Linked DNA regions of Macaca fascicularis. The protein of the gene in region 4 binds, or shares a complex with, the protein of the main gene of each other region. Links are inferred from orthologs where the notes say so. Each region holds a gene or a part of one and is shown on either strand. Other genes may lie near its edges. The genes, in order: CNOT2, CNOT6L, CNOT6 and CNOT9.

Region 1 (8,057 bases), on a different chromosome or scaffold from region 4:
TTTCTGGTTGAGGAATGGTGGATTGGAGGGAGGCAAACAAAAATCAATTAACATAATAAATAAACAACGGCCCATGTTAGAGGGAACTGGGAGGGGAGACTGGACAGATAATTATTAAATAGGGTGGTCAATTAGGTTTCATTAAGGTGGTCAGATCTGAAGATTTGAAGGCTATGAGGGAGATAATCATATTAATTATCTGGCAGAAGACTCTTCTAGTCTGAGGGAACTGCTAAAGCAACTAAGGCAGGGACATGACTGACATGTCTGAGATACAAGGTGGCCAGCGAAGCTGGAATACAGTGAACAAAGGGAAAAGCTGTTGAGGTGGGGTTAGGGGACAAACAACAATCATGTAAGACCTTGTAGGCCTGTAAAGATTTGGGGTTTCTGGTCAGGTGCAGTGGCTCACACCTTAATTCCAACACTTTGGAAGGCCAAGATGGGCAGATCACTTGAAGTGAGGAATTTGAGACCAGCCTAGCCAACATGGTGAAACCCTGTCTCTACTAAAAATACAGAAATTAACTGGGCATGGTGGCACATGCCTGTAATCCCAGCTACTCAGGAGGCTGAGGCAGGAGAATCGCTTGGACCTGGGAGGCAGAGGTTGTAGTAAGCCAAGATAGAATCACTGCACTCCAGCCTGGGCAACAAGAGCAAGACCCTGTCTCAAAAAAAAAAAAAAAAAGATTTGGGGTTTTTAATCATAATGAAACCACAAACTCTTTCTGGGTGTTGAGCAGAGGAGTAATTTATTTAAAAAGGACTCTCTTGGCTGTTATATGAAGAGATTGTATGAGAAGGGGGATAAGGACAATCAGGGACCCCCAGGGACTGGCTAATGGAGTATTCAGGCAAGAGAGAATGATTCAAACAAGGGTGGTAGCAGTTAAAAAGTAGTGAACTTTGGTCAGATTCTGTATATATTTTGGCAAAAGCCTGATTATGGGGTATAAAAGAAAGAGGAGTTAAGAATAATGTCAAGCTTCTGGAAGTACAGAGTTACCACTGACTGAGATTGGAAAGGCTGTAGACAGAGTAAGTTGGGGGGTGATAATTCAAGAAATATTTAATTAGCAATTGAATGTAGAAATCTCACACTCAGAAGTATGGAATGGAAACATATGTTTGGGATTCCTTAATATATATGGTATTTAAAACAATAAGACTAGAAAAGACCATCAAGGATCTAAATGCAGAGAAGAGGAATGACACAAAGAGGTCAAGAAGAAAAGGAGGAGGTACCAGCAAAGGAAATTGAAAAAGACCAACCAGTGAGGATGATGTAAAAAATGGTGCTCTCAAATTCAAGGATGAGAATGTGTATTAAGGAGCAAGAGTTCCTCCAAGTGATCACTGAATTTAATAACATAGAGGTCATTTGGTGACCTGAATAAAAGCAGCTTTAGTGAAGTGGCAGGGACAAAATCCTGACTGAAATGGGCTTACCAGAGAATGGAGAAGACCAAGTTGGAGGAATTGAGATGATTCTTTGAAAAGTTTTGCTTCAAAGGGAAACAAAGAAATGGGAAAGTAACTTACAGAGGAGATTGGATCAAAGGAAGATTTTAAGATGAGAGAAGTAACAATGTATTTCTATGTTGATGAAAATGACCCAACAAAGTGTGAAAATCTGTTGTTAAGTAGAACGCATGGGTCAATTGCAGTAATAGGGTGGAAGACAAGAATAACGTAGATGTAGATGGCTGTAGGTAGTCAGATTTGGTGGCTAGATTGTGCTAAATGTGCTCTTCTAATTGCTTCCAACTTTCTTAGGACAGTAAAAGTAAAAAGCAAGGTCATCATTTGATAGTAAGAACAAGGAGAAAAGGTATTAGGGGTGTGCAGAAGTGTATGTAATTGCGTAAGAGAGAAAAGAGTAAATGGACTAAGCATGCAAGGTATAATTATCCCTGGTAGAATTAAGAGCCTACTTTTGAGGTTCCTGGGTACGAAAATAAAGGAAGCCCAGGCAGTGATACCATGTGTTTTTCTCTAGCAGGGCTCAGTAGCACAGGTCAGGAATGAAATAGGCAGAAACAACCAGTACTGTAGCTTTGGCCATGCAAGTATAACAACATGAGAAAACGGCAAAGTAGTCACGGGATATGTAAATGAACAATTACGACTGACCACAGAATTTCATGGGTAAGAAGGGAGTTGATTACAGAGGAAGAGAGACAGGGATATGGAAGAACAGTTAAAACACAGAAGAATCAATAGATTGAAGGCCCCGGTGGAGTGAAATGATTACAGGAATTACAGTACCAGAAGAAGATAACTAGAAAATAGAAAGTGGAAATCGGAAAGCATGTGAGCACAGATTTTAAAATTGAGAGACTGCAGTTACTAACAATGACTAGGTCAAAGGGATAACTAAAGGAGTGGCTGAAGTATACTACAGGACAAAAATTCCTGGAGGAAAGAAATTCAAGGAGCTGAGATTTCAGGATTGTGGAAGGTGTGTGTATATATATACACATACATACACACACACATATACATACTTGCACATGCACACACATGCACACACACAGACATATAAAATGCCAAATTATAAAAGGAATACTGCAGAGTGCCAGTGATCTAAGAGCTAATATGCAAGCGAATGACCCAGAGAAAAAACAGATTACAATGAGTAGCAGTAGGTGAGACAATTTGATGACATGATATTAAAAACTGGAAGTCTGAAGAGGTATTATATACAGACATGAAAAAACAGAAAAAACTTACTCAGGAGAGTTCAGATTGAGGCCTAATGTTGTTAAGTCACTTCCTAATGCAAGATGTACCATTCCTGGGTCTGTCTCTGCTGCCCTGATAAATGTTAACAGGCCAATCATTCCAAATTGGTCCGTCACCATCCCTTGAGGAATGTTAGTAACCCGACCTGGGTAGAAAAAACACAGTTGCTTTTATTTTCAAGGAAAAGTTAAAAAAAAAAAAAAAAGCATTCTATAACATCTTTGACATAGATTTCTAGAGTCCCACCATCAGGTAACACCTGGATCCCTTTTTTCTGCTGGTTATTATTTTGTGTTGTTGAACTTTTATCTCCAGGGAATTTGGGTCCATCTGTACTTGAAGTTGTCTTGCCAGATGTATTCAAATTCTAGCATGAAAAAAATTAAATGTGACATTAAAATTTGTTAAGTATACAAAAAAGTTCACATATTAATACCTTGCTATTCATTCTTTATTATATTTAAATTGGTAGTAAATTATTACCTGTTTTTCAAGTTCTATAGAAAATTGTTTCCATCATTGTTCCATGGTATACAAATAAATCCTATATCATCCACATTTGAGTATTTAAAGAAAAAGAAATCAAGGGAAAATATTCTTATTTATCTCAGATCTTCAGTCACAGAAAAAAAAAATCTATCTCTTTCTCAGGTCTTTATGCTTTGGGATACACTTGAAGTTACACTCCTCAATGCTTTCATGTAAAAGAGAAACTAAATACAGTATATTACCTAAAATCACCAAAGCTACCTCCAAGATAAGTTAGAACATATAAGCTTTAAAACTTTGTACTTATTCTAATTCTTACCAATCTTCTTTATCAATTATTTTAATAATATATAAACTCCCATCACACACACAGAAAAGCTATTTTCAGTGAAATGTGGAAGAAATAAACATATTTGTTAAGTCAGAAAGAAGAAGCTGAGTTGGCTGAATCAACACAGGTATAAAAATGTGTATAAATTCTTCAAGGAGAAAACTTACTCAAGAAAAACACAGCTCCTTAGAAGGCTATATTATCAAACTTCATGGGATCCAGCTGACAGGGACTACAATAAAAGTCTAAATTAACTCTGAGAAGTTCAACAGAAATTTGCAAACCTATATGAAATAGGAAAAAAATAGGCTATCTTCTAAGTTATAAAGCTTTTCCACATTCTTCAGAAGTTAGATTATTACAGATATCAAGATAAAACAGTTTTGTAACAGTATTTAGTAAGTAACTGTTAATATAAGAGAAATCTGAAGGGAAAAACTACATCACTCACTCACATAGTTCTCAGTTACTTACAGATTTACTGTCATCATTACTTGATGTTGGATCTTTATAGCTGGAGCCTGGTAATGCTGGAAAATCTTCATTGTGTATTGAGAAGTCCTGGGATTGTTCATTTGCTGGTTTTGTTACCATTCCAACTATGTAATGAAAATAATCCGGAGAATTGCAATTGATACTTATGATATTTTGCTACAGATTATAAAGTTAACTTTCCTCATGATAATACACCAAAAGTTTTCTTTTTTTTAATGCTATGAAAGCGTACTTCAAAAAATTAGTATCCAGGGTAACAATGAAGAACTAAATTTTCATTTACTGATTAATAACTCAACATACAAAATAATACAAGGGAAATCAATAGTAATCCTGTACATCTACTGTCATGCGTAGGTGCTTAAAAATTTAATTTGATATTGGATTAATTATTAACAATTTTGGTTTAAAAGCTTGTTTTATTTAAATATTTGACTAGATATAAATACCAGTTAACTGTCAAATACAAATGAACAAAATAAAATTTAAAAGAATATGTCAGTATTCTACTTGAAAGCGACTTACAGAGTGAGCAAATTGCAATCAATTATAAAACAACTCCATATTATTTCAGATTTTCTTGGACTCCATGTTATAGATGTAAAACATGCAAGAACTGGGAAATAATCCTCCCACTATACTTGGCATTAGTCGGGCCCTTATTGGAGAACAATATCCAGTTTGGGGCTCCACAATTCAAGAACGATATGGAGAAACTAGAGATGGTCCAAGGAGAGCAACGGGAATGATTAAAGGGATGAAAAAATGGACCTATGAGGAAAGGTTAAAAACATTAGAGTCTGAACTGAGAATCAAGTAGCTAGGTACTCAACTTCCAGGGCAGATCATTTTTTCTTTTAATTTTGGGGAGACTAATTTGGAAACTTTAGAATATAAACAATACATTTTTCCCTTCTTCATATACTGTTATTTGTATTCATATCTGAATGGCACAGAAATCTTTCTTGGTTGAAAATGTGATCAAATATTAATTCTATCTTAAAATAATGGATGAACTGATTCTTTTAAATTCACCGTTTTGTTACTGGTCTCTATCAGGTTTTCCCAAAAGAAAAAAACTATGTGATAAAAACAGTATAGCCACATTGCTGTCACAGAATTTTCATGCCCAAATTGTTACACTGTTATTGCATATGTTTCCCCTCCTTTATTTCTGTTTATCCCTGATTAGCCAAATCTCTTATCTATTAGAGACAGTGAAAAAGGGTGATGAAGGATATTAATGGAGACCAAGAGTCTGCATAAGCTATACATGACCCATGAGCAATGGTTTTCAACAGGGGACAATTTTTTTTCCCCAGGTGACATCTGCCAATGTCTGAAAACATTTGTGTCTGTCACAATAGAGGCTGTGGGGGTTGGAAACAGAGAGTGCTACTGGCATCTTGTAGGCCAAGGCCAGGAATGTTGCTTAGCATTCTATATAAACACCACAGCCCCCCAGATCTCCTCTCTACAAAGAATTACCTGGCCCAAATGTCAACAGTGTGGAGGTTGAGAAACCTTGGCTCAGAAAAACATCTTCAATGTATAGTCAGTCATTATTAATCACCAGGAATATATTCTTTTGAAAAAATGTGTGATCAATTAAGGAGAGAAAAGGCAGACCACAAAAATAAATCACCTAAGGTAAACTAAGGCAGGGATAACAGAAGAAAATAACTTCTGAATACCAATGAGGACTTCCTCTTGGGTTTTTGTACAAAGTTTTCCCATTTAACTTTGCTACCATGGTATTCTGGGAAGAAAAATCACTTTTAATATATCAATTCTGAAAAAATTACACTAACCTGATTAGAAAATGCAAACATATACGTATACACAAACATATGTATATGTACATGTAAATGCATGTGTGTGTGCACATACAATGGAAACTTCCCACTGGTCATCATGAAAAAGCTTAATTACCATAAGGAGCTCTTCCAGCCAAGGGGTTTATTAATGGAGTTGGGTTACCACTTCCTTCCCTTCTGTTTCGGTCTGCTAATGCTGGGAAATCTGAAAGGTCCAATCCTGTCACATTTTCACTTCCGTCTAAATAATAAGAACGAACACTGGTTACTGATTCTACAAATATTTTTAAGAGACTATAAAAACCAACTATAATATAATTAGAAATGATTGTGCTTTCTTCCTAAATAATGCACAGCACTGTACAAGGTGTATGTAGCTGCTCAAAAGATACTTGCAGATTGATTTCATGTCAAAGAATTTCATGAACAATTTAGCAAAGCAATACGCAACCAGCATAATAAAAACCCCCAAATCCTAGAGATATAACAAAGAGAAGAAAAAGCATATATTTCCCCCGTGGAAGATGGTAACCTAAAATTATAGTGTGTGAGCTAACAAGAGGGAGACTGTTATGATATAACTGGTCTTTTCATTATGCTCAGATGGAGGTTGTATCTAGAATGCTTGAAGCTTCGGTTACACACAAATGGTGACAATGATAGTGCCTCCTGCAAATGGCCAGAAAGATAGCTGAGACACAGGCAGTGACGCAGAAGCCCTGAGGACTTCCACCTGTAATTGACTGCGTTCATATACAAATGTGTGTGCACACGGGTGCGGTACAAAAGGGTAGCAGTAGGGTTCCCATATATGGTAAATGGGTTGGAAATATAGAAATATGATACAAAGCCCAGAAGTTTATATTACCTATTACACAGTAGGCGCTCAATAAATATATATAGAATAAATTAAATGTATTTTTGTTCATTTTAAGTTAAAACAATCAGCTGGCTTCCTTTAAAAATTAAAATTTAACCCAACTTCTCTACTTTGTCTATTTTAATCATCTCAATTTCTTAACTTTTTAGTATTCTTATAACCTTGTGTTCTTAATTTTTGAAGAAAACTTTCTACCTTCCTTTTAGCCTGCGCTATAGCTTTTCTTTAATTTTTGTTTCACCATTTTCAGTTTATTTTGCCATTTCCCAATTAATTTTTAGTTTTCTCCAAATTTCACAATTGTAAGAATCTCAAACAGCAAATGTTATCTCAAGATTACTTCGTTGACAGAAAAACAACAGACACCATTAATTTATTAACATTCAAAGACAGGTGACAATTTCAAATTACAAGGGTAAACGATAAATCATTCATACCTGCTGTTTACAAAAACTGCAGTTTATAAATTTATTTCTGCAGTTTAAGAACTTCGAATTAAAAAATTATCATTAAGACAATAGAAATTAAGAATTTCTATCCTGCTTCAATTTATAATTTCTCAAATTCTTTGATTATAAGTTAATTATACATTTTGAATATATATTAACTTTTAATACATATCTTTAGGTCCTCCAAGATGGAATTTAAATTTGCCATATATTATTTGAGACTATGTTTTAACCTAAAAAAGTTAATCAACCCCCAATCTATATTTTTAGGAAAGAACTGGGCATTTTCCTAGCATAAAATACGCTTAGTTAAAACAGAATTTAAAAAATAATTCTCGTTTTACAGCACTGTATAAAACCATAATGCAGAATCTAAGATGGCACTGTCAGACATCTTTACTTGTTACTTTACGTCACATTTAGGAAAAAAAAACTACAACTAAATTACAGTTTGCAGATGCAGCCTGATTTCAAAGACATTAAAGTATGAAGAAATGTACATTTTAGAAACAATGGAATATACTATTTCATTCTACATCTTGAACACAAGCTACCACTTACAAATGCTAAAATTTGGAATCTTTTTTCAAAGCTTTTAATCTTGTGTGATTAATCTGTGCTGCTGAGCATACATTAACATTTAGAAATTAAAAGCTCATAGCTACAAATGACATTTCCTTATTAAATCTTCTCTCCCCTCTACAAGCGCTCCATTTCAGTGAGCATTCTTTTACCTTTCACTTCCTTTACACTTAATTCTCTCCCAATTATGCTGTTCATTTTTGCTCCTATGATCATAACATCCTTTATTTCCTTTCTCAGGAAAGGGTCAGTAGGGTGGAGAGGGT
Region 2 (7,385 bases), on a different chromosome or scaffold from region 4:
ATGGAACCTGTACTAATCCTATTGGCTATAATAAGTAGAAAATAAGAATATTTATATAAGCGCATACATAGTTAATGGTATTATTTTCAATTATTTGCATATCGAGATATCCAAACACACCTGGCTGAAGCTGTAGTAAACCATGTTTATGAATTTGCTAATCCTAGTTTAGCTTTCCCAGATTTGCTACATACATACAAAACACTACACAGTTAACTGTCCTATTCTTAATTTAAAATACTCATTTTCACAAATACTAGAATATGTGTAAATTCTGGATTTCCTTCCTGCATAAGGATAACTCAGCAAAAATCATTCAGCAGGAAGCCATACATAGCAGTTTTATCTCTCAGAGCTAAATGACTTGATTAGTCTGATCAGTAAGTCTCAAAACCAGGGGGCTTTTATTATCCCAGGTTGTGTATGCAAGAGAGCAAAATCAAATTTCTTCCTATCTAGTTCCTATTCGTATCAGGACAGCCTGAGCCCAAGGAGGGAGAAATATTTCTACACCTGTAAAAACCTATTTACAAATACTATACACGAGTTCCAGCCAATACTTTAAAAAGTATTATAATGAAACGGGCTACTTAAAACACAAAAACTTTTAATGAAAACAAATTTTTATATTGTGAGATTTTGGACACAATCATTTCAGTTTGTTGATTTTCATTTGACCAATATCAAAACACCAAAACTGCTCCTCTCCTAAGAGAGAAGATTCAGGTGCAGTGTCTCATGCCTATAATCCAACCCTTTGGGAGGCGGGGGCAAGAGGATGGCTTAAGCCCAGGACTTCAAGACCAGCCTGGTTAAACATAATGAGACCTGGGTTTTTACGAAAAATTCAAACATTAGCCAGGTGTGGCGGCATGCACCTATAGTCCCAGCTACTTGGGAGGCTGAGGCAGGAGGCTCACTTGAGTCCAGGAGTTTGAGGCTACTTATAATTGTCCCACTGCTTTCCAACCTGGCTGACAACAAGACTCTGTCTCTTAAAAAATAATAATAATAAAAGAAAAGAAGCCCTTATCCAACCCTACTTTACCACAAATTAAGGAACTTACATGAGTCCAGGGGACTCCAAGTTTAAATGGTCAAAAAATGATAGGATCATAAGGTATTATCCCTTCATTTTGGTTATATGCCTAGTTTTACAGTTTTACAGTGATATTTCAGAAAATGAGTTAACAAGGATCAGGGTAATTTTATTTCTCCTTATGAGACAACTTTTTGCTTCAATTCTAAAATAAAACACATGAAATAATCTCAATTACTTATGTGGAATAAAACCTATAAGGCCAGGCACAGTGGCTCATGCCTGATTCCTGTAATCCCAGCACTTTCAGAGGCCGAGGCGGGCAGCTCACTTGAGGCCAGGAGTTCATTACCAGCCTGCCCAACATGGTAAAACCCCATCTCTACTAAAAATACAAAAAAAATAGCTGGGTCTGGGGGCATGCACCTGTCGTCCCAGCTCCTAGGGAGGTCAAGGCAAAAGAATTGCTTGAACCTGGGAGGCAGAGGTTGCAGTTAACTGAGAATACACCACTGCACTCCAGCCTGGGCAACAAAGCCTCCTATATCTTACAACCTTATTAGAGTGCCATCATGCACATCAACTGCTAGAATTCTTTGCAAAGGTAGGCCCCAAGAAAAAAATGTTAAACACTCCAGGAAGTAAGATGTTTTTAATTGAACGCATCACTTGTAATCATTCTCTTGGTTTGAAATATCCGGAGTAAAAACTCTTACCAAAACCCTTAGCCAGGTTATGTCTGAATTCACCCAACGTATTTGTACATATACACCTATGAGAAGGATCCCTAACTTTGATCATAGGCACAAAGGAGGTTACAGACTAATGATTTTTAACCCTTTTGAGTCAGTTTCTTTTTTAAAAGATATAATACTAATAATGTGGGAAAATGCACTCTTTATATTAGTAAGGACTATTATTGTATAAGTCTATAGAACTGTATTTGGAAAAAAGTCAAAACACAACGAAAATATTAATAGTCTGAGTTACCATTATGCTAAGCTTTGTTTTTTAAAAGAATGCCAGAAAATTACAATACCAATTTCATAATGTAACAGAAAAGTTTACTATTTGCTATAAAATAAAAGCTGCCCTTCCTTTTATTAAATGATTCAGGCACACCCTCAGATTAGAGGATAAGCATGGGGTGAGGATCAGCAGCAGGTTTGAATTAAGCTGTTTATTAAACTTACCTGGTCTGAAAGTAATGTTGAAAAAGGAGTAATTCTTCTAATTGTTTACTCTTCAGTTCATTCCAAATCAGTTTGCAATTAAATGAATCTGAGCTCTAAATACCTCTTTTCTACATTTCTATTTTGTTCAAGGACCAAGAAAGTAAACAAATACTAAGCCAAGAAACAAAATTTAACACCTCTCTGATACAATGGCTCCTCACTAATACAAATGGATCTGTATTCGATGCTGATCACAAGGTATTTTACATTTGATGTTACCTATCTTCTTTTACTGATAGATTTCAATATTGGGATAGCATTACAAAATATATGTATAAAACTGAAAAGTTCATTTTCTGTTGGACTAAGAGCTCAATTCTCTCTACTCATGTGTGCCCTTAGTTTAGTCTCTAGCCATCTTTCCTTCAAATACTATTCTATCCTCTCATCCCATCTATCTATCCAGCCAGCCTATTTATCTTCCCATATATTACTCTCTCCCACCTTTATCCTTCTCTCTGATTCTCTTATACATCCAAACATCAAACACTCTCTGAGCCAGACATTTCTAGTTCTTTAGCTGTACTTATTTGAACAACGTAAATGGCTCAATAGGATTTTTTATTCAGTTATTAACACAAGATCTTTTGAAGGACTGTCGATAAATAATTTAAACCAATTCAGATGACTAAGGAAGGTAGATTAATGTCCCAAATTGTGTTTCTCAGATTTTTTTATTTACAGACAAGGAAGAAATAAGCTTTTAAAAAGTCTAGGCCGGGCACAGTGGCTCACACCTATAATCCCAGTACTTTGGGAAGCTGAGGTGGACAGATTGCTTGAGCCCAGGAGTTCAAGACCAGCCTGGGCAACATGGTGAAACCCTGTCTCTACCAAAACCAAAAAACCCTCAAATTACAAAAATTACCCCAAGACCAGCCTGGGCAACATGGCGAAACCCTGTCTCTACCAAAATAAAAAGCCCTCAAAAATACAAAACTTAGCCAGGCATGGTGGCACATACCTGTAGTCCCAGCTACTCAAGAGGCTGAGGTGGGAGGATTGCCTAAGCCCAGGAGGGTGAAGCTGCAGTGAGTCATGATTGTGCCACTCTAGGTGACAGAGCGAGATCCTGTCTCAAAACAAAAAAAGTCTAGGCTGGGTGCGGTGGCTCATACCTGTAATCCCAGCACTTTGGGAGGCTGAGGTAGGCAGATGGCTTGAACCCAAGAGTTTGAGACCAGCATGGGCAACATTGCAAAACCTTGTCTCTACTAAAAATACAAAAAATTAGCCGGGCGTGGTGGTGTGTACCTGTAGTCCCAGCTACCTGGGAGGCAGAGGTAGGAGGATGTCTTGAGCACAGAAGTTTGAGGCTGCAGTGAGCAAAGATCCTGCCACTGCACTCCAGCCTGGGCGACAAACTGAGACCCTATCTCAAAAAAAAAAAAAAGTCTATGTGAAAAAGAAAAAAAAATTTTTCTTTTTACCTATACACATACCTAAATAATAATGATAGTTGCAGAATTACTAAACACTTATTTTCAGGAACTTTATCACAGGTTTTCTGGGTTACGCTGGCAGATATATATCACTATAGTTACAAGGATAGGATTTAAGCTGTGGTAAACTGTGTACCATTAAAAGGTGTTCCTTTAAGCTTACATAAAAGCAATGATGTGCTAGAGTCAGCTAGTACTAGCTTTTCTAGCACCTCTTCCTAACTCTGTGTTCAATGGTATCGTGTTGGGAGACTGGATTCTGCTACAGTAGAAGTACTTAAACCACAGAAATCGGCAAACACCACAAATCAGAGCTTTTTCCCAAAAAGCTCATTATTAAATGTTTACCAGCACATAACTACATATGAGTGGCTGGGCCAAAATGAACTATCGCTGGATTGAATTATCTTTTCTAATAGCAAAAATACTAAATTAGATTCAATTTCTAAGCACTTTTTTTTCCACTTCATGATTATGAAAGCTGATTAGTAACAACACATGAATTCCTTTTCTTCCTCCTCCTATTTGTTTCTTGGAAAGGAGCTAACCCACACAAAAACAGAAAAAGGTTATTGGAGATGTAAGGGAGTCCATTTGTAAATTTCCTTTGGCATTTTATTAAATTCCTGCTAGGCTTCTTATACCAAACTGCTTTCTAACACTTGGATTTTTCCAGATAGTGTAAGATTCTACTATAGATGCCTGAAATGCCAGAAAGTCAAAGAGAGGTACAATAGCAGAGTCACAGGTACACAGAGTGATCAGAAAACTAGCACTGGAAAAGAGATTACATAAAGCCACCACAATCTGTCTTTCTAAAGAAGAGCTGGTCCTGTACAATCGGCCTTTCCATTTTTTTGTGTGTATTTGTCAAAAAAATGTCTTTTTCTTTCAGAGTGTTCCACTGCCTAGGAATATATTAGTACAAATACATGGATATAAAATAGAACCAAAGTACAACCTTCTCTAACCCCATTCCCAAAAGAAATCTGAAAATTTAAAGATACTAAGACATCAATGGAAGGTAGAAAGAAAATCTTGAGAAAATACTACATAAATTCATTCAAAGTGAGTTTTGCTATATTCAGTGCTTTTCTGTCGGGGGCAGGAGGGAGGTTACTGCTGAAAGTTAGGGATGGTTTGAGCAGGTGAGGGTTAACTATATTGATATATACAAAGTGCTTTGACAAGTGCCTCGTACCTAGTGAGCATTTCAAAGTTTTTGTTATTATATTATTTAAAATCTAAACAAACGAGAGAGCAAGAAGAATTTAAGACAATAGCCACAAAACCCAATGAACCTACTTATATCTAGGTGCATACTTAGCCTAGACATTTTAAGAATCTAAAAATTCCTGAAGATTATACAATTAATCATAAAGAATTTACACCTTTTTGTTACATGCTTGTATCTGAAATAATTTCTACACCTGCCCAAAGGCTGCCACTCACTTTGAAATCAAAGGTGTAATTGGTGTAAGGCATCAAGTTATTTTCATAGGCGCTCTTAAGTTGGAAGCCATGTGTGATTCTCCCTTCTGAGCTTCCATTCTTTCCATTGCAGCTGAAGTTCATAAGACACTCATTGTACCTTAGTTCCTTGAAGTCTTTATGGTTGTCAGCTACTCCTCCATTGCTTAAGTATTCCACAACACCTGGTAGAATAAAGAAAAAAGAGACACTCCCATTTAGCATTCAGACCTTACACAAGGCTTCACAGCCAAGACTTGTTACCAGGTTAATCCACCAGGCTCAGAATGGTTTTCTTAGATTGAACCATATAAAACTGCCTTTTGTCATTATTTAAAAATAAAAAATCAAATACCAGCCATTTCATACGATTCAATCAATTGAATCAAAGGATGTTTGCCTATTTCAGAACAAAATATATCAGGAACACTCAAAGATATCCTTAGTTTTCTTGGTGGTTCTTCAGGCCAAAAATTTCCAGGACCTAGGATGGCATTCACCAGGAAGGCATTAACCCTAAATGTTTTCGGAAAATTATTCCAAACCACTATCTCTTTAGCATTTTCCCATTCTAAGCAACAACTCTGCAAATATATAAGTAGAACATATTAATAAAAAACGTTTACAACAAAAACAGATTTTGCATCTTTAACATTTCAATGTCTAGTGTCAGCTAGACAGTATCATTCTTTATTTTGAGCTACAGTGAGTTTTCTCAGTCTGACACTATAAAGAATATTATATGCCAGAAATATACCACTTGGCTAAAAATACAAGGCTGAAGAGAAGAATAGCATTCAGAAAAGTGCACTGCTTCCACTGAATTAGCAAACATGAAAACAGTATCAAAACCCTTATGATTAGTGCATTATTAGAGTCATCCTTCTATTTGTAATAAGGATTGATAGTAAGATATAATGAATGTGTGATAAGCACAATTATCAGTATTGTAAATAGCTCAGAAGGCACTATTATTTACCTAGTATTTGCTACATGCCAGGCACTGTTCTAAGTGCTTTATTCATGTAAATCTCACAAACAATTCTATGAAGTAGATAACATGATTCCCCCCTTGTTAAAAATGAAGAACTAGGCTGGGTGCGGTGGCTCACGCCTGTAAACTCCCAACACTTTCAGAGGCCGAGGTGGGCGGATCATCTGAGGTCAGGAGTTCGAGACCAGCCTGGCCAACATGGTTAAAGCCTATCTCTACTAAAAATATAAAAATTAGCTGGGCGTGGTGGCATGCATCAGTAATCCCAGCTACTGGGAGGCTGAGGCAGGAGAATCGCTTGAACCCAGGAGGCAGAGGTCGCAGTAAGTCGAGACTGCACCATTGCACTCCAACCTAGGCAACAAGAGCGCAACTCTGTCTCAAAACAAAAAAATAAAAGGAAAAATGAGGAACTTAGTCACAGATTGCATAGTTCATAAGTAGCAGAATCAGGATCCAACCATGACAGTCTGGCACCAAAGACATTTCACTACGTTGTATTGCCAAATGCCAGCTAACTGGCTTTAACAAATCAAATACAATGGGAGAAAAACTTGCACTTGAGAATAATTCAACTTAAGAAAGGATTAAGAAAGGAGCATGTGGTTAAAGTGCCAATCAGGCTAGGGGTTAAAGACAGATATTTATTAACAATGATTTCAGCATTATTTGCTAAGAAGAAAAAGATGTTTTCACGTTCAGTGACTTTTTTAATATTCCAAATGGAGGCATTTAGGTTATCTTATAGTAACCTTATTGTTACTTACTTAAATAACTTAAAATAGCCTAGTAGTGATAATATACAAAAGTTAACATATGCTTTGGTATTAGCAAAAGAGTAATAGTTTAATGTTTTCTATTTGATACCTAAAATGCAGAAACTATTTTTATAAAAAGTAAAATGATATAAGTTCAGACATAAAGTAGTTTAGAGGAGCTCAAGAAGTAATATAAAGTCCTACGATAATTTTAATCATTCTTCTGTACCTACTAACAGTATCCAAATATCACTTAATGAATTCACTTAAAAGTTGCTAACATTATTAAACTAGATAGCTACCTGTAATGAATATTTTCTGGCTGCCCCTTCAGATCACCCTTCTGCAGTACACTCTGTGCCTCAGGAAGCTGATCTTTATTGCATCAACTGCAAATCCCTCCCCCCTCTAGCTTCTGGTTGGATTTGATCAATGGGCAGCCTGGCA
Region 3 (8,262 bases), on a different chromosome or scaffold from region 4:
CCTCAGCCTCCCAAGTAGCTGGGATTACAGGCGCCCGCCACCATACCCAGCTGATTTTTTTTGGGTATTTTTAGTAGAGATGGGGTTTTGCCACGTTGGCCAGGCTGGTCTCGAACTCCTGGCTTCAAGTGATCTGCCTGCCTCAGCCTCCCAAAGTGCTGGGATTACAGGCGCGAGTCCTTGCACCGGGCTGAGAGTAGCTGCCTCTGGCCATACAAATTACAAAAAGGCACCCAGGCTAGAGCACAGATGGCCAGGGCACTCACACAGGGAGGAGAGGCCTTGCAGGGTGTCTGTGCCACTGGCCTCTCAGCCTGGGATGCTCTGTACAACACAGGCTGCACGACTCCCTGCCTGGGGCGGAAGGAGGTTGTGCAGGGATGGCCACAGGCAGCCTGCTGGTCGGTCTGCATGTGTTCTTCCTGACTCCTGGGCTTTTGCACTGCCATCGTTGCCCAGTGTCCTATGGCCCTAGAGGCCTGGGCTGTCACTACTGATGCCATGGCAGTGCTAAGCAATGACCATCCCAAGGCCATGCTGGGGAGAGGGAGATCATCTTGATCTCTGAACAGCTTTTCCCTCATCCTTTCCTTGCCCTTCCAGCCAGGTCTCCTCCACCCCAGGCAACAGCAACCCATTTCCCACATCCCCAGCTCTCAACAGCCTTCAGTGACGCAGAAGCCTTGGTTTGCTGCTACGGTTGGTTCCTGGAACCTGTCTCACTCCCATTTCTTCAGGGTTGATTTTCCAGGAAGCAGTTAGCAGCCCATCCTACTTTGCCACATAGGTGGGCAGGCAGCTATTCCTTTTCCTTGACGCCATACCCTTCAGCATATACTTCGAATTTTTTTTTTTTGAGATAAGAGTTTCGCTCTTGTTGCCCAGGCCTGAGTGCCATGGTGTGATCTCGGCTCACCACAACCTTTGCCTCCCAGGTTCAAGCGACTCTCCTGCCTCAGCCTCCCCAGTAGCTGGGATTACAGGTGCCCGCCACCACACCTGGCTAATTTTTTGTATTTTCAGTAGGGAGGGGGTTTTGCCATGTTGGTCAGACTGTTTTCAAACTCCCGACCTCAGCTGATCTGCCCCCCTCGGCCTGTGCTGGGATTACAGGAGTGAACCACCGCGCCAGACCAATATACCTCCAGTAATTAAGTCTGTTGAGTGTTCTTCTTGCCCCTAGACTGTGAGCTTACTCAGGGCTGGGTGGGGTCTGATTCATCTCTGTGCCCTGACCATCAGTCAACTAATATTTCCTGATGTAAGCATCATGAATCAGCCCAATCATTTCTCTGCTCACCTTCAACCACCAGAGTCTGCCCCGAACACCTTTCGATCTTGGCGCACAGCAGCTGTTGTCCGTTACTCAGGCTAGGAGCCCAGCACCACACTGTCCATTAATGTACTGGAATGAATTACCATTCATGGACTGAAACGGTATGTTAACTTACTCTTTTTCTGCGTCATTGAGGAAGGAATAACATTCGCCTGCTCACGACTGATTGTCTTGTCTTTAGGCAGATCAAGATACTGGCTCCGGGCAAATACCTGTGTTTCGACGTGAATGACAGGCGAAGGCTTAAGGAAAAGGAAAAGGAGAAAAAAAGGGGAGGAGGATCAAGGAAGAGGGAAGAGAAGAGATAAAAGCGGACAACCCGGCCGGGCGCGGTGGCTCACGCCTGTAATCCCTGCATCTGGGAGGCCGAGGCGGGCGGATCACGAGGTCAGGAGATCGAGACCATCCTGGCTAACACGGTGAAACCCCGTCTCTACTAAAAATACAAAAAAAAATTAGCCGGGCGAGGTGGCAGCGCCTGTAGTCCCAGCTACTCGGGAGGCTGAGGCAGGAGAATGGCGTGAACCCGGGAGGCGGAGCTTGCAGTGAGCCGAGATCGCGCCCCTGCACTGCAGCCTGGGCAACAGAGCGAGACTCCGTCTCAAAAAAAAAAAAAAAAAAAAAAAAAAAAAAAAGGGGACCACCCGAGGCAGAAAAAGAAGTAGATGAAAAATGGAGGAGCGCTACAGAGAGGAGAAAACAGAAGTGCCAAGGCAGGAACGGAGCGGGGAGAGCGGGAACAGAAGGAGACCAAGGATGGACGGAAAGAGGACGGGGGAGGCCGGGAGCAGGGCCCGCAGCGCGCCGGGCCGGACCACCGTTCCTCAGCGCGGGGGTGAGGGGCGGGGCCTAGGCCGAGGCGGGCCGCAGCGACCCCCGCGCCGAAGGCCGGATGGTTGCGCCCAGCGACGGCGGCCAATGAGCGGCCGGGATGTTGGCGTGCCGGCGGCGGTCCGGGCGCTCGCTGGCTGAGGGACGGCGCCCGCCGCCATGATGCTTGTTTGCTTTCAATGAAAACGAGGGGGGCGCGGAGGAGGAGGCGTCGGCGTCGGTGTCGGCGGCGTCGGCGGCGCGGAGGCGAAGGCAGCGGCGGGCGCAGCGAGGCGGGCGAGGCCGGGGGCCGAGAGGGCGGGAGGGCGTAGTGGCGGCCCGCCGGGGCGGCTGAGGCGGGCGGCTGAAGCGGCGGCTCTCGGAGGGGGAACAAAGAGCAGCGACTGAGGCGGAGAGGAGCGGCGGCGGCGGCGGCGCTGCAGCAGCGGGCGGGACTGGTATGGTGGTTCCACAGGTCAGACCCCGCTGCGCTCACAGGGAGGAGGCGGCGGCAGCGGCGGAGGAAGGCGGCGCACCCCGAGAGGTGAGCGAGGCAGGCCCGAGGCCCGGCCGGGGCGCCGCTTCTCTCTGCGGCCGCGCACGGACCGCCCCGTCGGCCGGCCTCGGTCGCGGCAACTTGAGTTTCGTGGGCGGCGGGCTCGCCGCTCCCCGGCTGGCGGCTGTGGGGGGCCCTCGACGCGCCGCGATCCCGCCCCGCCCCGGGCCGCGCCCCCGAGCCGAGTCCCTGCCGGGGGGCGTTGATTGACGGCGGCGGGCGGAGGGGAGGGGAGGGGCCGGCGCCGGGCTCTGGGGTCCCGGCCGGTCCCGGCTGCCGTCGCCGGAGGAGCGAGTCCGTGGTCCCGGGACTCGGGGCCAAGACGGTGGCAACTTCGGAGGAGCGGCTCGGTGGGTGGTTCGCGTGTGGAACTTCGCACTCCGCGGCCGCAGTTACTGTCGAGCGGGAAACCCGCTGCTTACCCCCCCTAAAATGTTCTTAAAATGCAGTTTAACGCAGATTTTTGGGGGAGAGGACGGGGTGGATTACAGGTTAAAGAAGCACTTAGCATGCAGTGAAGAGATTTGTTTTATAGTATTGCTAAGGACTCGGAGATCGCGCTGGTTTCTAGAAGCAGTTTTCTCTGGGAACCCAAATTGCACCCCTCCTTTTTGTTTTTCAACACTAATCGTTATTTTCTTTGGAAACTTCCTTTGACTCTTTACCTCCTTCGCCTTCCGCGAGGAGCCTGCTAACCAACACCTGTAGCCTTCTGTTTTTAACTGTTACTGCCATTGACAACATCGTGAATGGTCATCTCGCTTGACCTTCTTGGATTTGTTGTTACTGTGTTAAGCTGATGTGTTTTAGATAATCTGCTTGAATTTGAGTTCCCATACTTACCTGTTTTCCAGGTGGATTGTCTCATTGTTAGTGCTGAATCTTCTTGCCTACTTGTATCTGGGAATTTAACTTTGAAGAGGAAGAGAGTGAATGTGAATAACTGAAAAAATAAAATAGTGTGTAGTAGCACTTTGTATTTTTTTACAATATACTAGACTTTCCCACTCCAGAACAGATTTGTAGGCTGTAGGAGTAGATGTGGGCCATTGATCAAAAGGGTGGCTTTTTTGGATAATTGCTGTTAAGACATTTATCACAGTCTTTAATTTATTTATTGTTTTTGAGACAGGATCTCACTCTGTCACCCAGGCTGGAGTGCAATGGCACAGTTCTTGGCTCACTGCAGCCTTTGCCTCCTGGGTTCAAGCGATCCTTCTGCCTCACCCTCCTGACTAGCTGGGACTACCGGCAGACACCACCACGGCTGATTTCTAAAGTTTTTGTAGAGTCTTGATTTGTTGCCCAGGCAGGTCTCCAACTCCAGAACTCAAGCGATCTTCCTTCCTTGGCCTCCCAAAGTGCTGCAATTACAGGCATGAGCCAACATGCCTGGCCATCACAGTCTTTAGAATGTTGTGACTTTTAGAGTAAAATTAGAATAAAAATGGCTTAATATCTTTAGATCTGTGATCTACTCCAGGTGTTTTGTTTTAAACAAAATATTTGAACAGCTGCTAATGAGAAAACAGACCTAGAAAGGTGGAGGTGACTTGCCCATGATACTGTAATTACGAGGGGAAGCACTGGGTTTGTGTGCATGTGAGAGCACACGAGTGTGTGACCTCATTGCTAGAGGTTTGTTCTTTTGGGAGGGTAGAGGGTATTTTAATGGTTAGAAGTTATTTCAGGTCACTTCTCAGTAGGTGAACGAGATGCTTAATGAAATGGTCAAAAAAGATTATGTAATTGCCAAGCATGATGGCTCACCATGTAATCCCAGCACTTTGGGAGGCTGAGGAAGGAGGATGGCTTGAGCCCAGGTGTTTGAGACCAGCAAGACCCTGTCTCAGAAAAATATGAAGTATTTAAAGCCTGTGATAACTGTCACAACGTAGTGAGACCCTGTCTTGATCAGTTTTTAAAAATGGTGACAAAAGACATAGATATTCTTGTGAGACTGACGATTTTCTCTGAAAGCCAATCATTAATTTCCATAGTGTCTTGATAGTGGTGATGCAGCCTAGGCAGCTCCTTTTGAATATGCCTGTTCAATTTGTAGGTATTTTCAGGTTTCTTAAATGTTGTTGGCAAAGTAAAACTACAATTATTGGGAAATTTCAAACTGTTTTCTTTTGAGCAGACATAAGGTTGGTTTATAGAATTTGGTCCTAACTACAAATGTGTAAAGGCATTGTAGGAATTTGCCCACTGTACCTGTAGTTTAAAAGTATGCATTTTATGCCAGGTGCGGTGACTCACACCTGTAATCCCAGCACTTTCGGAGGCCGAGATGGGTGTATCACCTGAGGTCAGGAGTTCGAGACCAGCCTGGCCAATACGGTGAAACCCTGTCTCTACTAAAAATACAAAATTAGCCAGGTGTGGTGGCGCATGCCTGTAATCCCAGCTATTCAGTAGGCTGAGGCAGGAGAATTGCTTGAACCCGGGAGGCAGAGATTGCCACTGCACTCCACCCTGGGTGACAAGAGTGAAACTCAGTCTCAAAAAAAAAAAAAAAATGCATTTTGGTTAATGCTTAGACATTCCAGTACCCATATTTGCCTTCTTATATTCTTTAAAGCATAAACCTTTTTCGTGGTGCAACAGAAAAGGATAATATATGTAAGACATACTGAAATAAATGTTAAGGCAGCTCACAGCTATATTCGTTGGGCCATTAGGGGTGAGGGATCAATATGTTCAGCACATTTAGAACCCATTCCCATATGTAAGTAAGGTCCACTGGTTTGGGAAGCTCTGCTTTAAAGCATTTATCACTTTGGAAAAGTCCTAATAGGCTCAGCTAAAAATGTATGTTTTACTGGGAAAACCAGAGTTGGATTTGTAGATATCTTTATACCCATTACTCAAGGTAGTCATTTTACAACAAAGTGTGATTAATAAAACACTATGTATCTGAAATTAAGAATGGCTGAGGCTGGGTGTGGTGGCTCATGCCTTTAATCCCAGCACTTTGGGGAGGCCAAGACAGGCGGATCACCTGAGGTTAGGAGTTCAAGACTAGCCTGACCAACATGGAGAAACCCTATCTCTACTAAAAATACAAAATTAGCTGGGCGTGGTGGCACATGCCTGTGATCCCAGCTACTCGGGAGGCTGAGGCAGGAGAATTGCTTGAACATGAGAGGCAGAGCCGAGAGCACACCATTGCACTCCAACCTGGGCAAAAAGAGTGAAACTCCGTCTCAAAAAAAAAAAAAAAATTGTGAATAAACTGTAAACATATACTGTATGCATAGCTGGGGTGCATTAGAGTATAATGGAATGTACTGTATTTTGGTACTTGAATAAGTAGCGAGGTTGGGGGTTATTTGATCCAAGATGGGGACTCATTTAGGCTGTCTTCACTTTACCCTTCTCTGGTCTTTATCTCTCCTTCGTCCATTTATATTTTCTTGGTAACTTAAGTTACACGTTAAGGTATGTACTGGTCACAGTGTTTGTTGTTGTTGTTGTTGTTGTTGAGACGGAGTCTCGCTCTGTCGCCCAGGCTGGAGTGCAGTGGCGCCACCTCCACTCACTGCAAACTCCGCCTCCCAGGTTCAAGCCATTCTCCTGCCTCAGCCTCCCGTATAGCTGGGACTACAGGCGCCCGCCACCGCAACCGGCTAATTTTTCTATTTGTTTAGTAGAGACGGGGTTTCACCGTGTTAGCCAGGATGGTCTCGATCTCCTGACCTTGTGATCCGCCCGTCTCGGCCTCCCAAAGTGCTGGGATTACAGGCGTGAGCCACCGCGCCCAGCCAGTCACAGTGTTTTAACACTGAGAATTCAAAGACAAATAATACTCTGATTTTGCCCTCTCATAGCGTATAGGCTTAATAGGTGCACAGAGTGCTGTGGGAGAACGCAATAGAGAATGATTAAACTTGCGGAGGGTGTGGGGGCAGTTTACGAAAAATAACACTGAATAGGATTTGCCAAACTGGGGAGAGGGAGTCGTGTTAAACAGAAGAAACTGTGGGTACACTGAGGTGTCAAGTGTTAGGGTAAGACTAGTGATAAGGTGTTATTGGAACAGTGGGCATGACTCGAGATGAGCCTGCAAAGGTGTGTCTGGTCTAGATTTTGAAGGACCATGCTTGCTAAGCTAAAAGTGAAGTTTCTACCTGTATCTTACAGCAGAAGAGAGAGCCAAAATATTTTTAGCAGGGGAGCAAGGTGATTTAGAGATCACTTTGGCATCCCTGTGGAGAATAGAGTGGAAGCCGTACAAGTATATATTTGAGGTATTATGGAGTTAGTGACTTTGGATCTATTTTTTCTTTTGGTTTTTCTTTCTTTTTTTTTTTTTTGAGATGAAGGCTCTCTCTGTCACCCAGGCTGGAGTGCAGTGGCATGATCTCGGCCCACTGCAACCTCCGCCTCCTGGGTTCAAGCCATTCTCTTGCCTCAGCCTCCCGAGTAGGTGGGATTACAGGCTCCTGCCACCATGCTGACTAATTTTTTTGTATTTTTAGTAAAGACAGGGTTTCACCATGTTGGCCAGGCTGGTTTCAAACTCCTGACCTCAAGTGATCTGCCCGCCTTGGCCTCCCAAAGTGCTAGGATTACAGGCGTGAGCCACCGTGCTCGGCTTGGATCTATTTTTAACTTGGATATGGTGTCTCCTGAGTCTGTGGTCCCTTAAGGGACTTTAGGGCTATGCCCAGTTGCTGTATAATACAGGGTCATTTAAAATCAAAATGTCAGTATGTTTTGGAAGAAGTTAAAAACAGTCAAAGCAATGAAAATCATAAAATAGTACTCATGAAAGTTCAGGTGTTGAGAACACTTGTCTTCTGAGTTAGGCTTAGGCAGGCTATAAACCTTAAGCTGGAAGATTCAACCCTATGCCCAGTTGAAATCAAAGCCACCAAGCTTAAAAAGTTATCAGTATCCTGATGGTTTGCTAGGATATGCATTGTAAACATTTTGTGAAATTTTGGGATGACAGTTTCCTCTTTAGTAAATTATTGGAATAGTGAGACTAACTTAAGGTCTAAGAAGTTCTCATACAACTGTTAATTTATACAGTCAGTTTGCTGTAAAGCAACATACAGGTTCCTAAAAAATCACTCCTTTGCATAATTGTACAGTAGAAATGACTGACAAATGGGGTTGTCAGTGACACATTTAAAAAAGGAAGCTTTATCAGTGACACATTTAAAAAAGGAACCTGGTAAAAATGATAGAACAGTTTTACACGTGTTGAATGGTTAAGAAATATATAGATACTGTAATAAATGTGGCATTTTGCCTTGAAAAGGCCTGGTTTGCTTGTGGAAAGGGATGTCAGAAAGGTTGCTGCTTGTGAGTTACTGTGAAGTGGTAGAAGAATTACCTATAATCAGATGGAAGGTTGTAACACCAGAAGCGAATAGGTGTGGCCCTTAACACGTAGTGAACTGACTTAGCTGGTAGGTGTTTGAAGTGTGTTTCAGGTATTTCTACACAGTTCAGTTCGACTGGGTGCAAACTGTCTCCTTTCATCTAGTGTTTACGTGACAAAATAGCACATAAATAAACAGGAGGTACGGCTTGTGCTCAAATTGTT
Region 4 (8,057 bases):
AGGGGGAGTAAGTGCTTATTCTGCCCTTCTTATATCTAGGCGACTTAATTACTATTTTCTTGGCTCTAAAAAGACAGAAGCCAACTAACAAGTCCGGCTCTCTTTGTGAAAGTCGGCTTGAAGGAGCCCTTGTGTTGGCAAAACTGCCTCCGCAAATTTTTTTTTTTTTTTTTTGAGCCTGCCCCTTATAGACCCTCCCCAGACTTGTTCAGACACCTCAGTTGTGTGAGATGTGGGCAGAAAAGACTTGGTCCCTCTCCAGAGTTGGATTAAGCAATCCCATCTTTGATTGGAGATGGGGATGAGAAAGTAGGTGCTAGCAGGGGAAAGGACTGGGGAAAGCAAGGCAGTTTACACTTGGCTGCAGATTCAAGCCTATGGATTGTGAAGAGCCATCTAAGCTCCAGAGAAGAGGAAATCTCTGATACGGTAAGAACAAGTGAATATTTTAGCGGCAACCCTGTATTCCCATAGACCAAAAGAGAATGTGTCAAAAAAAAAAAAAAAAAAAAAAAAAAAGACTGAGTGAGCAGAATCCAGCCCTCCATCTTCAACCATCTTCAATTTGAATAAAATTAACTCATACGGCTAATACTGCTCAAGTATAATCACGAAGACAGATGGAGCTGCTGAAATTCACACTAAAACAAAGAATAGGATCAAGTGGATTGTCACCTTAATCCCAAGCACCTCCCTTTTAGAGTTATCGAGAAAGTATCTTTGAAAACTTGGATTGAATGTGAGGTCCACCACCGCCCCTTGTCCCTCAATACAATACCCTTCCAAGACAGCCTGATGAATTAAGACATCTGTTTTAATAGAAGGGAAGTTTTAAAAAGGGAAAGCACGGAGATTTGGGAAAACTAGCAGCTAAAGCCAGAAACAAGGTTAAGGTCCTTGTGGCATTCCAGACTGGAAGTAGAATGGGAGAAGGGAAACAGGTGGTAGGTTCCTGCTGTCCTTTGGCTTTACATCTTTTCCCTGCCCTCCCATTTCTCCCAACAGCTTGATGCAGCTATTGGCCTGCCAGAGGGGATGTAATGCCCAGACCAACTTTTTATTGAGCTTATGCAGCTAACAGACTTGTAAACAGTGCCAATTGACAAAGTTTTGCTGAATATTACAGCTTGTGCCCACTAAACACACCTCTCTCTGAGATTAAAAACAAAAAAACCAAAGTAAACAAATACTGAGAGAGAATGAAGAGACACATCTTGAGTCTTCCAGGAAGGCAAAATAAAAAACGCCACATGGCTTGGTCCCAGGCGTTCACCATGCCTAGAGTGCTGCTGCTATCACCACTGTCTCCCCTCCCTGCCAGTGGCTAGGTAGAGGTAGGGGAGAAGGGTCATCTTGGACATGCTGCAAATACAGCATTTGCTGGTGTTGACACCCTCCTGGGGCTGTGGTGGCAGACTGCTGTGTCAGGAGCCCATTTCCTGGGAGTAGCAGAGGGAGCCCAGGTCCTCAAGACGGCCTGAGATGGCAGCCCATGCACCTCAGCAGGGGTACCTTGCCCCTTTTCTCCAGTATGGTTCAGCATTGAGGTTGTCTATTCCCAGTCGGTGATAAAACCTGAGCTGTTTTTCTCATAGGTTCCCCCTCCTTTCCCCAATTTGGGGGAGTAGTGGGAGGGAACAGGGAAGGATCACTGAGGGGGCAGGGGGATACCCCTGGGATCGGTGACCTGGCCCTCTTGCAGGTTCTTCACCAGTTGTGCAAGCCAGCGTTTCGTGGTGGTGTCATCTTTTAGCACCTGGGCGAAGGTTGTGTCTTTCAGCTGGTCAGGGAGGCACTGCCTGAGTGCTTCACGTGCCCTACATCAGAAACAAACAAACCAACCAGGGAGACCAACAAATAAACCCACATTTTGTGGACAGGGAAGAGCCCCCTTCTTAGACATAAATATTTAGTATACCGTGAATCTATGGCTCCTTAAGACGCCATTAAAATTCTCTAAAGCTGTATTAGGCATAGGCTCACAGATCTCCAAAATCTGTATCCACAAACATTTTCTGAATGATGCCCCAATGTAGAATTTCATGAAAAAGCAAAATTAAAAGCTTCAATAGTTTACTTCCATTCAAACAGCTTTCTGATTTATTACAGTAAATACTGTCAAAATACTCATGTTAGAAATATATGGATTATGGCAAATAAAATATTTCAAAAATCAGTACATTAACAAGGATATAATCAAGATTATGATAACTTAATGAATTTTAATTCTATACTAAGTTATCAATTTGTGTCTTTACAGAAATTGCTTCAGTTTTATGGTTAAAAACCTTAATAAGAGATGAGCAGTGAAAACAAAACTATGGTAGCAGCATTATCAGATGAACTTTTAAACGTTTCATTTTCTTTGAAAAGATGACCAGCAGAAAGTCAAATCTGAAAACCTAAAAAAGGTAAATGTTAACTATTTATAGAGCTATTTTAAACAAAGTTATAGTTTTGCACTCAGACTAGTTTTCTTTAGAAACTAGTCTGACTAGTTTTTTAAACAGACTAGAATTTTAAACAGACACATTTTTAAACTTTGGTGAAAACAAGAACCACTGAAGAACAGGATAAAATGGTCAACAAACAGGTAGGGCTTGAATAAACTCAGTGGCAGGAGACCGAGTTCACATTAAATCAAATCAAGCTAGCTCTGCTCCCAAGAACACAGAAATCGCTCCATTATGTGGTTTAGCAGAATATGAGCAAGTTGCTTTCAGCATGAATTATGGATTTACAAAGCAAAAGGTCAAACATTTCTAAAATGCATTATATCTACAATGTATGATTTCTGGCAGAAAGATTATGAACATAAGCAGATAAAATAATTAGCTCAAGAAACTTATAGGAATCAAGGAGAGAACTGGAAATAGAATTCAAGAGCCCTCTGGGCTGTGTTCCTTTTTAAGAGATCTCTGAAAATATACTTCTCTTTCTGACCACATAGAGTAGCAACAGAAAATTCAAACAACAGGAGTAATGCATTATAAGGTTTCCCTTGGAATCGCCTAGACTCTCTGGAATTTCACAGTAGGATTGAGAGTTACAGTGAGAAGATGAAACTCTGATGGCTATTAAAATTCAGCATTTCAGATTTTTTTTTTTTTTTTTTTGAGACGGAGTCTCGCTCTGTCTCCCAAGCTAGAGTGCAGTGGCCCGATCTCAGCTCACTATAACCTTTGCCTCCCGGCTTCAAGCGATTCTCCTGCCTCAGCCTCCCGAGTAGCTGGGACTACAGGCATCCGCCACCACTCCTGGCTAATTTTTTTTTGTATTTTTAGTAGAGACGGGGTTTCACCATATTGGCCAGGCTGGTCTCGAACTCCTGACCTTGTGATCCGCCTGCCTCGGCCTCCCAAAGTGCTGGGATTACAGGTGTGAGCCACCACGCCTGGCCAGCATTTCAGATTTTAAAAGGAATTTAAGTTCTGTCTCAGACAAATTAAATGTAGTTATATCCCTACTTCCCTGTCCTAAAGACACAGGAGCTATGCCATGAGATTGGGAAACTGTTCAGCAGAGTATTTCCCTAAAGTCCTATACATCCTATCAGTGTTTACCTGGGGTTATCTGAAAGCCGAAGGTAACATCTCACTACATGCTTCAGCAGACGGGCAGAAGGCTCTTTGGATAGCTGCAGGACCATCTTACCCTGTTTCCCCCAAAATAAGGGGAGGGGTTGGAAAAAAACACACAAAACACAAAAAAATTCTAATTGACATCAGAGATCAGATAGTCCAAGAATCATAAAAGGTTCCAAAATTGTTATTTCTAGTCAGAAGACTGAAGTTGTTCAGTGCCAGTTATAAAGAGATTAAGCTGTGTGATGAGACGTAGTTGTAAAGGGGATAGATGAAAGAACTCACCAAGATCATGGCAACATGGGAGAAACGCTCATACGTCTGACATATATAAGCCAAACCAGTGTCATCTAACAAGATCTTCTGGAGGATGAATGTGGCAACCTGAAGCAAAACAAAATCGAAGAGTTTATGAAGTTGCTCAGATTTAATCTTCTCATTGTCTACTCATTTTCCCAAGCATGACTATCAGTCAGAAAATTGAGCAAGCAGGGATCCTTGTGTATTATGTACAACTTATCATATATGTATAGTACAAAGAATAATAAATATTATCATATTGAACATTACTTTGTACCAGTGTTTTTTTCTAGAGGCTTTACATGCTTTATCTTATTTTTATAATAAATCAATGAGGTAGGTACCATTATTATTCTCATTTTACATACAAGGGTAGGTTCTGCGTAATAATCAAATTCTTAAAAATCAGGAGACCTTCTCATTTATAGAGTACCTACTATGTGCCAGGTATAACTGTTAATCAATAATACACCAGGTTAAGGTCCCAAGTGACAAAGTTACTGTGGCAGAGCTGAGATCCAAGCCTCATTTGAATATCTAAGGCTCTTCTCTTTTCCATAAGCCAAGATGATTTATTTAGCTATGCCTCATCTCTTCCAGATGAAGTAAGGCCTTTCTTTTTTTTCTAGATGGAGTCTTACTCTGTCACCCAAACTGGAGTGCAGTGGCTCCATCTCAGCTCACTGCAACCTCTGCCACCCTAGTTCAACTGATTCTCCTGCCTCAGCCTCCTGAGTAGCTAGGATTACAGGCTCTTGCCACTGTGCCTGGTTAATTTTGGTACTTTTAGTAGAGACGGGGTTTCACCATCTTGGCCAGGGCTGGGCTTGAATCCCTTGACCTTGTGATCCACCTGCCTCGGCCTACCAACGTGCTGGGATTACAGGCGTAAGCCACTGCACTTGGCCAAGGTAAGGCCTTTCTTGTTCTTAAAAGATCTTGAAGAAGTAAGATTTTAAAGTTCCTCTTTGAAGATTATTCTAACAGCAATAAAACATATCCTGGCTGTGAAGCTTATACGTGGCCTCAATTTTTCCCTCAACTTAAGCTCATTAAGTCTTACATAGAAGAGATATTACATTAGTTTAATTCAAATCAGACAATCACGATAATGATACTCTTTCTTAGCTGCTCATCAAAATGAATTGTGGAATTATTTTACTATTTTATTGAGGTTATAACACTGTAGTAGGCTGAATAATGGCTCTCAAAGATATCCAGGCCCTAATCACCAAACTCTGCAAATGTTACCTTAAATGAACAATGGGACTTTGCAGATGTGATTAACTTAAGGATCTTGAGATGGGGGATTATCCCAGTTTATCTAAGTAGGCCTTAAATGTAATCATGAAGTGTCCTTAAAATCGACGTAGAGAAGGCCAGGCAAAGTGGCCCATGCTGGTAATCTCAGCACTTTGGGAGGCCAAGGTGGGAGGACTGCTTGAGGCCAGGAGTTCAAGGATGCAGTGAGTTATGATCATGCCACTGCACTCCAGTCTGGGCGACAGAGAAAACACCATCTCTTAAAAAAAAAAAAAAAAGAGAGAGAGAGAGATGTAGAGAGATTTTACCACAAAGGAGAAAGCAATGTGACAAGCAGAGAGAGATCTGAACATGCCACACCACTGGCTCTGAAGATGGAGGGGGCCATAATCCAGGGAATGCAAGAAATGCAGTTCTAGAAGCTGGAAAAGGCAAAGAAAAGACTCTCCTCTATATCCTCCAGAGAAAGCATGACCCCTGATACAATGACTTTAGAATGGTGAAACTCATTTATAACTTGTGACTTTCAAAACTATAAAACAGTAAACTTGCATTGTTTTAAGCCACTAAGCTTCTAGCTTGTGGTAATTTGTTACAGCAGCAGGTTATATAGGAACCTAATATAAACATATACACAGTAAAGTGTGTTAAGTACACTAATCTTAAGTGTTTCTTGAATTTTTACCTATGTACACATTATGTACTATAACCAGATTAAAATACAGAATATTGTATAAAATACAGAATATTTGGGAGGTGGAGGCAGGCGGATTGCCTGAGTTTAGGAGTTCAAGGCTAGCATGGGCTACATGGCGAAACCCCATCTCTACTAAAAATACAAAAAATTAGCTGGGTATGGTGGTGCGTGCCTGTTAGTCCCAGCTACTCAGGAGGCTGAGGCACAAGAATTGCTTGAACCCGGGAGGCGGAGGTTGCAGTGAGCTGAGATCACTCCACTTCACTCCAGCCTGGGTGACAAAGTGAGACTCTATCTCAAAAAAAAAAAAGAAAAGAAAAAGAAAAAAGTATTTCTACCAACTCATGATTCCAGCATTCCCTTGTACCTTTCCCCAGTCAATGTCCTTCCCTCAGAGATAACCACAAATCCAACTTATTGCCAGTAATTGGCTTTGCTTGTTCTTGAACTTCACATAATCAACATACAGTATGAATTCCCATGTGTCTGGCTTCTTTTGTTCAGCAATGCCTTTGAGAGTCATCCATATATTGTATATTTAAAATAAAAAGTTTAAAAATAGCCAGGTATAGGGATGTGTGCCAGTATCACAGCTACCTACTCAAGAGAGGGAAGTGGGAAGACTGCTTGAGTCCCGGAGTTCAAGGCTATAGTGTGCCATGATCATGCCTGTGAATAGCTACTGCATTCCAGTCTGGGCAAAATAGTGAAACCTCGTCTCTTTAAAAACAATAAATTGGCCAGGCACAATGGCTCATGCTTGTATTCCTAGTACTATGGCAAAAGGCAGGAAGATCCTTTGAGCCCAGGTGTTTAAGAGTAGCCCAGGCAACACAGGGAGACCTTGTCTCTACAAAAAATAAAAATAATTAGCTGAGTGTGGTGGAGCAGGCATGTGGTCCCAGCTACTTGTGAAGCTGAGGTGGGAGGATCACTGAATCTGGGAGGTCGAGGCTGCAGTGAGCCATGCCTCTGTACTCCAGCCTGGGTGACAGAGAGAGAGAGAGAGAGAGATCCTGTCTCAAAATGAATAAATAATTTAATTAAAAATTAAAAAACCAGTGCTCGCTTAGACAGCACATATACTAAAATTGGAACAACACAGAGAAGATTAGTGTGGCCCCTGTGCGAAGATAATACACAAATTCATAAAGCATTCCATATACATATTTTTAAAAGTAAAAAAAAACAAAAAAATCATTATATCCGCTTACACCCAACTCAAGAATATTTATTAGACTAAAAAAGTAATTTAATGTGACAAGGCACATTTTAGAGCAGAAGTTGAATACTACCAAAAATAGTCAGCAATATGGAAAAGAAACCTTGAAAAAAAATCAAATAATATGAAATTTAAAAATTGAAAGTGATTAGAGAAAAAAATACGAAAGACAGATAATAGAGCATAACATGTTGCTGAACCAAGAGGCTTGAACAAATAAAAGAGAAAAATATACAAATTAACAAAAAAGACACAAGTAATATGCTCTTTCAGAAAAAAATTGAGGCTGGGTGCAGTGGCTCACGCCTGTAATCCCAGCACTTTGGGAGGCTGAGATGGGTGGATCATCTGAGGTTAGGAGTTCAAGACCGGCCTGGCCAACATGGTGAAACCCAATCTCTGTTAAAAATACAAAAAAAAAAAAAAAAAAAAAAATTAGCCGAGTGGTGGTGTGTGTCTGTAGTCCCAGCTATGTGGGAGGCTGAGGCAGAAGAACTGCTTGAACCTGAGAGGTGGAGGTTGCAGTGAGTTGAGATTATATCACTCTGTCTCAAACAACAACAACAACAACAACAAAAACAAAAACAAATTGGCCCGGTGCAGTGGCTCACGACTGTAATCCCAGCACTTTGGAAGGCTGAGGTGGACGGATCACCTGAGGTCAGGAGTTCAACACCAGCCTGGTTAATATGGTGAAATCCCATATCTACTAAAAATACAAATATTAGCAGGGCGTAGTGGCATATGCCTGTAGTGCCAGCTACTTGGGAGGCTGAGGCAGGAGAATCGCTTGAACTTGGGAGGCGGAGGTTGCAATGAGCTGAGATTACATCACTGCACTCCAGCCTGGGTGACACAGCGAGACTCCGTCTCAGAGGAAAAAGAAAAAAGATACATGATTATCAAATGAACTTTAAAAATAATAAAAGACACTTGCAGGTAACCGCGCAAAAAAGTAAGTTCACCTAAAAAAGGAAAGAATTAGGCTGAC

Evidence for each region.
Region 1: CNOT9 (region 4) and CNOT2 share a complex: the UniProt entries of both Homo sapiens proteins name them as parts of the CCR4-NOT complex. The link is inferred for Macaca fascicularis from reciprocal best matches to the Homo sapiens genes CNOT9 and CNOT2.
Region 2: CNOT9 (region 4) and CNOT6L share a complex: the UniProt entries of both Homo sapiens proteins name them as parts of the CCR4-NOT complex. The link is inferred for Macaca fascicularis from reciprocal best matches to the Homo sapiens genes CNOT9 and CNOT6L.
Region 3: CNOT9 (region 4) and CNOT6 share a complex: the UniProt entries of both Homo sapiens proteins name them as parts of the CCR4-NOT complex. The link is inferred for Macaca fascicularis from reciprocal best matches to the Homo sapiens genes CNOT9 and CNOT6.

What each region holds. Positions count from the first base shown.
Region 1 is NC_088385.1:77,064,445-77,072,501, reverse strand, and holds part of CNOT2 (CCR4-NOT transcription complex subunit 2), read right to left. Parts: intron 6,122-8,057; coding exon 5,996-6,121; intron 4,168-5,995; coding exon 4,043-4,167; intron 3,116-4,042; coding exon 2,995-3,115; intron 2,894-2,994; coding exon 2,737-2,893; intron 1-2,736. UniProt on the Homo sapiens protein: Component of the CCR4-NOT complex which is one of the major cellular mRNA deadenylases and is linked to various cellular processes including bulk mRNA degradation, miRNA-mediated repression, translational repression during translational initiation and general transcription regulation.
Region 2 is NC_088379.1:56,141,708-56,149,092, reverse strand, and holds the end of CNOT6L (CCR4-NOT transcription complex subunit 6-like), read right to left. Parts: intron 5,372-7,385; coding exon 5,169-5,371; intron 3,647-5,168; coding exon 3,368-3,646; 3' UTR 3,186-3,367; downstream 1-3,185. UniProt on the Homo sapiens protein: Has 3'-5' poly(A) exoribonuclease activity for synthetic poly(A) RNA substrate.
Region 3 is NC_088380.1:187,399,931-187,408,192, forward strand, and holds the start of CNOT6 (CCR4-NOT transcription complex subunit 6), read left to right. Parts: upstream 1-3,097; intron 3,098-3,367; coding exon of another isoform or gene 3,368-3,446; intron 3,447-3,556; 5' UTR 3,557-3,661; intron 3,662-8,262. Other genes in the region: uncharacterized protein, read right to left, coding at 1,938-3,097, 3,368-3,446. UniProt on the Homo sapiens protein: Poly(A) nuclease with 3'-5' RNase activity.
Region 4 is NC_088386.1:114,517,653-114,525,709, reverse strand, and holds part of CNOT9 (CCR4-NOT transcription complex subunit 9), read right to left. Parts: intron 7,013-8,057; exon of another isoform or gene 6,906-7,012; intron 3,969-6,905; coding exon 3,870-3,968; intron 3,656-3,869; coding exon 3,564-3,655; intron 2,403-3,563; coding exon of another isoform or gene 2,357-2,402; exon of another isoform or gene 1,818-2,356; coding exon 1,649-1,817; 3' UTR 1-1,648. UniProt on the Homo sapiens protein: Component of the CCR4-NOT complex which is one of the major cellular mRNA deadenylases and is linked to various cellular processes including bulk mRNA degradation, miRNA-mediated repression, translational repression during translational initiation and general transcription regulation.